Linked DNA regions of Callithrix jacchus. The protein of the gene in region 1 purifies or fractionates together with the protein of each later gene. This does not show direct contact. Links are inferred from orthologs where the notes say so. Each region holds a gene or a part of one and is shown on either strand. Other genes may lie near its edges. The genes, in order: GTSE1 and ACAD11.

The links.
Region 2: the proteins of GTSE1 (region 1) and ACAD11 purify together in Homo sapiens (co-immunoprecipitation; 3 studies listed by BioGRID and IntAct, counting the BioPlex papers as one, with this or other methods). This does not show direct contact. The link is inferred for Callithrix jacchus from reciprocal best matches to the Homo sapiens genes GTSE1 and ACAD11.

The regions. Positions count from the first base shown.
Region 1 is NC_133502.1:213,685,101-213,689,587, forward strand, and holds the start of GTSE1 (G2 and S phase-expressed protein 1), read right to left. Parts: upstream 3,004-4,487; 5' UTR 2,793-3,003; intron 2,493-2,792; 5' UTR 2,472-2,492; coding exon 2,393-2,471; intron 1-2,392. UniProt on the Homo sapiens protein: May be involved in p53-induced cell cycle arrest in G2/M phase by interfering with microtubule rearrangements that are required to enter mitosis. Overexpression delays G2/M phase progression.
Region 2 is NC_133518.1:51,460,824-51,464,634, forward strand, and holds part of ACAD11 (acyl-CoA dehydrogenase family member 11), read left to right. Parts: intron 1-824; coding exon 825-924; intron 925-3,156; coding exon 3,157-3,282; intron 3,283-3,811. UniProt on the Homo sapiens protein: Acyl-CoA dehydrogenase, that exhibits maximal activity towards saturated C22-CoA.

The DNA.
Region 1 (4,487 bases):
CCTGAGGGCGAAAGCACAAAGAGGTCCCCGAGCAGGTCTTGGGGAAATCAGCCTCAGAAGACGCTAGAGCCAGAGCCTGCACAGAGACATTGTACACCAGCCAGAGGCAGGAGGAAAAACAACAGGGCCTTGCTGTCCAAGCAAGGGAAGCGTCCAGAGGATGAACGTTACCGAAAAACACACTCTGATTCAACAAGACTAGAAGAGTAACAAGAGACTGGGCAATGAACTGTTTTCATACAGCTTGAATGGAGTGATGAGGATGGAAGCTGGAACGGGAGGGGTTGAGGGGTGGAAAAAGTGACAGAACAAGTGAGAAAGCGCTCGAAGTTTGGCTTGGAAGGAGAAACACAGCAGTGGAGGCAGCAGAGGAGACGTGGCGACAAGTGAGACAAGGGAACGTATCCGAATGTGGAGGAGCACGATCCAGTGGACAGTGGAGAAGTGGGGAGAGGAAGCCAGGGTGACGGAAGTGGGGAAGGCCTTGAGAAGGAGCAGCGGGTGCAGCATGCATGTGGAAGGGACTTATTGGAAAGGGAGGACACGACAGGAGGGAGGACAGGGTGCAGAGGCAAGCGCCTCTCTAGATGAAGATGCAACGGTGATTTGCAAAGTCTCCAGGACAGTTCCTGCAAAATAGGGGCATTGAGGATGCTTGGGGCCCAGCCACAGGATCATGTCTGTAATCCCAGCACTTTGGGAGGCTGAGGCGGGTAGATCACCTGAGGTCAAGAGTTTGAGACAGCCTGGCCAACATGGTAAAACCTCATCGCTACTAAAAATACAAAATTAGCCCAGGTGCAGTGGCTCATGTCTGTAATCCCAGCACTTTGGGAAGCCGAGGCGGGTGGATCACGAGGTCAAGAGATCGAGACCATCCTGGCGAACCAACTTGGTGAAACCCTGTCTACACTAAAAATACAAAAAAAATGGCTGGGCATGGTGGCGCATGCCTGTAGTCCCAGCTACTCAGAGGCTGAGGCAGGAGAATCGCTTGAACCTGGGAGGCAGAGATTCCAGTGAGCCAAGATTGCGCCACTACACTCCAGCCAGGCAACATAGTGAGACTCCATCTCAAAAGAAAAGAAAATTAGCTGGGCATGGTGGTGGGTGTCTGTAATCCCAGCTACTCAGGAGGCTGAGGCAGGAGAATCCCTTGAACCCGGGAGGCAGATGTTGCAGTGAGCCAGGATCACACCATTGCAATCCAACCTGGGGGACACAGTGAGACTAGGCCTCGAAATCCTTGGATAGCGTGAGAATCAAAGGATAAAAGGATATGAAAATGCTTTGAGGCCAGGTGACATGACTCACACCTATAATCCTAGCACTTTTGGAGGCCAAGGAGGGTGGACTGCCTGAGCTGAGGAGTTCGAGACCAGCCTGGGCAACATGGCAAAACCCTATCTCTGTTAAAAATACAAAACTTAGCTGGGTGTGATGGTGGGCACCTGTAATCCCAGCTACTCAGGAAGCTGAGGTAGGAGAATCCCTTCAGCTTAGGAGGCAGAGATTGCAGTGTTGAGATCTCGCTACCGCCCTCCAGCCTGGGTGACAGAGCAGGATTCCATCAAAAAAACAAAACAAAACAAAAAGCCAAAAAAAAAAAAAAAAAACAGGGCATGGTAGCTCATGCTGTAATCCCAGCACTTTGGGAGGCAGAGGTGGGCAGATAACCTGAGGTCAGGAGTTTGAGACACGCCTGACCAACATGGAGAAACCCTGTCTCTATTAAAAATACAAAATTAACCAGGCATGGTTGCATGCCTATAATCCCAGCTACTCGGGAGGCTGAGGCAGGAGAATTGCTTGAACCAGAGAGGCGGAGGTTGTGGTGAGCTGAGATGGAGCCATTGCACTCCAGCCTGGGCAAAAACCTCGAAATGCCGTCTGAAAAAACAAAAACAAACCAAAAAACACGCTTTGAGAGAAAAAGAGGGTGTGGTCTGTAACTCATTTTGTGAAGCTGTACCCTCACCTTGATACCCAAACCAGACAAAGACACAAGAAGAAAGGAAAGTTTTGGGCCAGACTCACTCATTAACAAGGTCTCAAAGATCCTAAAAAGTCTTAGCGAACAGAAACCAACGACAAAAAAAGGAAACGTCGAATTCAATTCAACAAACGTTTGAGCACCCACAAAGTGTCAGGTACTGTTCAGGGCATGGGGGCACTGTGCTAAGTAAAACTGATGGGAATCCTGGCTGTGATGAAGCTTAAAACTGGGAGGAGGTGAAAGAAAACCAGAAAATACAGATGCCATGTGTTTCACAGGTGCAGAATACAAGGCGAACACTTGAGAAAGAAATAATTTCTCAAGGCAACATTAAATCAACCTCCATCTCTACTGAACGTCCTAAACAACAACAGCGCCGCAGCGGCAAGGACTTGCCTTCCTTCTTAGGGTCATCCACGTTCGCGTCCCCTACCCGGCAGGTTGAAGGCTCATCGCGGCCGCCGCCTCCTTCCATGGAGAGAGCTGTCAGAAGTCACTGCAGGGTGAAAGGGGACCAGAAGGTGAGCGCGTGTCAGGGCCCAGGGCTCCTGGTTCCTTCAGCCTTCGGCTCACAGGGGCAGAGAGAACTAAAGGTCGTGGCCAGGTCCGGGAGAGGCGGTGCGGGGTCGCTCTGAAATAATCGCATCCCAGGGGACCCCAGGGGCCGAGTGCCGCCAGGCCCGGAGTCAGCCCGAGCGCTATCGGACGAGATAACGGAATTCTCGGCTTCTGGGCCAGAGTGTTGGGGGCTCTGGTTGCGCGGGGGGGCAGCCCTGGACCTCCCTACATCCCAGACCTTGGTGCGAGGCGCCACGGTAACCCCGGCTCGAGCCCAGGCCCGGCTCCCGGTGGCACGCGGCCCCTCCCCGTGCCGAGAACGTCTGTACCGCGGGCACCTGGCCCACCCAACACCCTTCGCCCCCGCCCCCGACCCCGACCCCCTTACCTAGAGCCGCGACGACGCAGGACGCGCCTCCGGTACGGATTTAAACGCGGCGCCGAACGACGCGGGCTGCCGATTGGTGGGTTTGAAAAGGGCTCCGTGAGGCGGTGGGCCCGATGCATCCTGGGGATTGTAGTCGGGACGCCGGTAAGAAACACCCCGCGCGCATGCGAACTGCTTCAACGCAGTGATTGGCTCCGCACGGCGCGGGGGGGGGGGCGCTCCCACCCGGAAGAGCGCCTGACCTGGTCGCCTAGTGTCTCTTCGCCGTCCGCATCAGCCGGAACCACGTAGGGCAGCTCTTCGTGTAAGGAGAAAGTTAAAACTGCCACTTAAGGGTGTCGATGGGAAGAACTAAACCAAGTAGGCTCACCCACCTTCTGCGAAGCCGCGCGCGCCAGCTTTTACTAACACAGTAGTGAAAAGGCGCGGTCCCTGCCCGGGGGCGCGCACGGTTGCGCCGGGTGACTCAGGGACCAGGAGACTCATGGCCCGAGCTGCACAGTCTGTGCGGTCGGAGGAGAACCGTTGCCCTTCACGGGCTTCCCCAACCGCCAAGGCCTGAGGACGGCCGAGGGCGAGGCGAGAGCCTGTCCTGGGCTTTACAGGCCAGCTGGGGAGCTGCGGTGGAGGAGAGAGGCCCCCGGTGATGGAGCCTGCCTTGCGGAGTGCATATGCTGGGGAGGGGTGGGACGCAAATAGGACATCCCTGACCTGAGCCATAGAGACGCAAGGACAGGACTGGCCGACGGGTCAGTGGGCGGCAACTTGAGACTGACCTCGCTTTGCCAGCCAACCAGGTGTAATACCCAACTCGGGGGCTTGAGGATGGAATGAGGGGCTCCACCCAGGGCACAGCGTCACTAAGTGGGAGCTTTGATTATCCAGGACTGATGGATGGAGGAGGGTGCAGGAAGAGGGGCCTGGGATGACGCGCCGGGGAAAGGACGGAACTCCGGAGAGCACCATTTTCAGGGAGGAAGATAAGCTGTTTATTTGGGCACGTTCGGTGGAGAGCTGTCTAGGAAGCAGCCACCGGGGCCCCAGGGCAGAGGCCTTGCAGGCTGGCTGGAGCCACTTCCGGGTCCCATGTCCCTGGTTTTCCATCATCCACACCAATCACTCCATGTTGCTGTGCTCCTTCACCAGAAGACCCTGGGATCATAAAGGGCAGGCCAGCCCAGCCCAGCCCAGCCCTCACTCATCAGTCTCCCTAGCCCAGCACAGGGCAGCAGGCAGGGGCTGAGCGTGCTGGGGTAGGCGGGTGTGATCAAACAGCTTGGAAAGAGTTTGGCCTGCTCATCGCATTCGCCTCTCGGCTCGTCCTGGGGATGTCTGCTGGGAGAGTGGCAGAGGGATCCCCAACATCCACTCCTGATACTCCTCCCGGTATCATGTCAGCACATAGTAGGTGTGGCCTATCTACACAAAGTCATTTCTACCTTCCCCCAGTAGGATATGCCGTAGTTTGGATGTTTGTCCCCTCCAAATCTCATGTTGAAACGCGATCCCAGTGTTGGAAGTGGGGCTTGTGGGAAGTCATTGATC
Region 2 (3,811 bases), on another chromosome or scaffold:
CTGCCACACTCAATCTAGGCTCACGCTTGTGTTTTCCTGATGAAGGTTGGAGTCCTGGGAAGAAATTTCAAAGATTTTTTTTTCTACTTTCTCCTATTACCTGTTACCTTAAGGATTGATTCTTCTGTTTATTTCATTTAGATCTCTCCTTTATACAGTTGGATTCTTCAAAAGTTGGGTGATTCTTAAATGCCCATATTATAAGTGAAGGTATAGACTGAATAGTTTTGGTAGCTGAAGTGTTTATACTTAGTCTAGGTGAGAATTTCTGTTCATCTGGCAGGGAAAGGCAATGCCCTGGTGTCTGTGAGTTAGCTGGGCCAGCATTGCACTTCCCTGGACCACATGCTCACTGTGGGACCTCACTTCTCAGAACTCCCATTGTAGAGAGCTGAATTCATGCACTAGCCTTGGTGACATCTGTGGGGGTTATCTCTCTAAAGGCAGATGAAGGGGAATTAACCCAGCTGTTCCTGCATCCTTTAATTCATTTTCTGACTGATATTTAAAATCTCTTCTCTGATTCTTTATTTACTTACATCAGTCATTGTTCTACAGGTTCTCCTAATAAAACTTATGATTTGCAGTCAGGAAGTGGAGTCCTCTCTTCTACCTGTGTGGGTCAGACTCTTCAGCTGCCAGTATGTTGCCATCTGCTTTAATATCATCTAGAAATTCATGTTGTGAGCTGCTGATAGCACCTCTCTTGATTTTCTAGCACTGGGATGAATTTATTTTCATTTTTCTCTTCTGACATTTCAGTAGGATTTGGGGATAAAGGAAAATATATCTTTGTAATTGACCTTTTCTTTACTGTTATTTAGATCAGGACAGTCCAATCCAACCTTTTATCTCCAGAAGGGCCTTCAAGCATATGTGCTCAGGAAAAAACCACCAGGTTCACTTCTTCCTAAAGCACATAAGGTATAGTATACAAATGTAATGTTAAATTCTTTGGTGACAAATAAATGTTTTTAATACACACAAAGCCAATATACTTTTAAAAGGCATTCTATGATTGCCAGATAACATAAAATGCATTTTATTTTTAATGAAAATTTCCCTTTAATTATATCTTGTCTTAAGAAAGGATTTGAGGTTGAAATGTAAGCTTATCTTTAGGCTATTAATCTTGAACAATACCCACTTCTTTTGTGTATTTGATTTTCCTCTACACTGTTGGCTAGAAGTAAAATCAGCCAATGAATAGTTTCAGTGCTACTCCTCTATAGATATTTTGGTTTTGTTATATATGTAAATTATAATATATAATAGCATCTACTCAGAATTATTTTAATATATTTGCTATGATAATCCTCTAATCTTTTGGTGATAAAAAGAAAGATTTGAATAAGTATTTTACAGTACCCTCTAAATATTAGACAGTGAGAATTATAAAATATTTTTGTTAAAAACTAAGTTTTTCTGTCTTCAGAAAACATTATTATCTATAGATTTCCAGAGAACAGAAAGGGACAGAAATCAAAGTACTGGAGAACATTAAAAGCACTGTGTGTATTTAGAATGTGACTGTAATCATGTACAGCAGGTGATTCCCAGGCTCAGCTCACTAGGGAAGGGCAGTTGTGGGGTAGACTTAATATCACAGTATTAAAAAATGTAGATTCTATGGGACTTTCTTGGTCTCATATCATATTCCCAGAAACATGAAGGAACTTGGATGCTTAAGATAAAAGAGTTGGGTAACTTTTATTAAATCTCAGTATGGCATGGCTGAAGGAGAATCCCTACCCATGCCCCAGTAAACAGCTTTATTTGTCTCTTTTCTTGAAAACATCCCACCTGAACACATCAGAACAGGGCATAATGCTCTCAGCCCAAGTACAAGGATCGGGAGTACTTTGTTTCTACTCCCTTCATTTTTCTCAACGCTGCACTGATAAAAGCAATGCTCCTCCTATGTGATCCTCTTTTGCTTGTCTAACCCTCTTGCCCTCTCCCCCTTTCCCACCTCCCCCTCATCTCCCAACACCAGAGAGGTTACAAACACTTTTTTCCACAGCCCCTGATACCCCTGGCTTCTCTCACCTTGGACATGGGTTTCGTTAGTTTCCTGTTCCAGTTACTGCTGTAGAAGCTGCTTTACTTCCTGATATCAAAATGAGCTGCATACTTTCCCCTCCTTAGAATGGTCAGTCGCCATTGTCTGAATCGGAGGCCAGGTGACTGATTACATGCAGATGAGCCATCCTTACTTCGCCTGCATCAACAGCTCTTCCCTTGGGTCCTGAGTGATAGGCCTGTGCATCTGTCCTACTTAAGGAAGCCATTTTCTTCCTACTATCTTATTTGGGCTCCAGTTTGCTTCCAGCTGCCTACTTTCCTGGTAGTTATCTTGAGCTCCACAGCAGTCCTGAGTGCCAGGAAAGATCCCCATGTCCCTGCCCTGGAAACACATGCCTCCCATGCTCTCCAGAAAGGGAAGGTACTTTTCCTTCCACCACCACCCACCTCTCACCCCCAGCTCTCTTTAGCTGACTGCAGTAGAGTGCTAGAATAGAGACTTACCTGAGCTTCCTTGGAAGACCTGAAAGAACAACCAGCCAGCCAGGGAACTGCTGAGGACAAAAGGATGTTTTATGATAAAATATGTGAAATATTGTGAACATTATTGCCTTGGCATTATCAGAGCTAGTATTAAGTCTCATGCAGGTGCTCATCTTCTTATCCTAATTAGGCCGAGGCAGGTGAATCATGAGGTTAAGAGATCGAGACCATCCTGGTCAACGAGGTGAAACCCCATCTCTACTAAAAATACAAAAATTAGCTGGGCATGGTGGTGTGTGCCTGTAATCCCAGCTACTCGGGAGGGTGAGGCAGGAGAATTACTTGAACCCAGAAGGCGGAGGTTGCGGTGAGCCGAGATCATGCCATTGCACTCCAGTCTGGGTAACAACAGCGAAACTCTGTCTCAAAAAAAATAAAATTACATTTTTTAGCAGTGGTCTAATTTGTAATCATGATTATACCAAGACCACTATTAGGAAAATTATTATTACTATTATCCTCTGGGTTATTTGTTGATACGGTTTTACAGTTGTTTTCTAACCTTAAGGTTAGCTCATGAGTAGGTATTAAACTTAATTACAATTAAATCAATTTCTCTGATTTTTAATGATTCATCATCCTATTTAGATTGATAGAGAATTTAAGGTCCAGAAAGCCTTGTTTTCAATTGGATTCCCCGTTCCCAAGCCTATACTGTACTGCAATGATACGTCTGTCATTGGAACAGAATTTTACATAATGGAACATGTGCAGGTAAATTAACACTTAATCTTATTTTGTTGTTGCTTTTACTTTTAATTATGAAGTTAGGATGTTTTATTACATGAAGTTTTATTATGATACTAATAAATGATATAGTTTGTTATTTAACATTTTAGGTAATTAGATTGCTTTGCAAAGGCTTAAAATTTTGTTCAAATGTGAGCACTTACAAAGGGCGGGATGTAATAGACAAGAAACAAATTTAGTAAGAGGTATTGAATTTTTCTTAAATTTTCCTCTAGGTGTCAGTAAAGAGCTATATGTAATGGCAATAACCAACTTGTCTATAAGGTAGCAGGGAAAACGCATCTTCACGTAGTTTAAGCCATTAAGAACAATAAATTCAAAATGTGTTTTAAGTTTTTTCTTTAAAATAGTTGAGAGTAGTTTTGATGTTTATAGTCATCTTGGCATATCCTTGTATTTTCCCTTTGGCACATATACTCTAATATTAAATATATTTCACAAATGAATGTTTTTGTAGTAGATTCTGCAAAGTATTGGTTGCACACATTTAAAT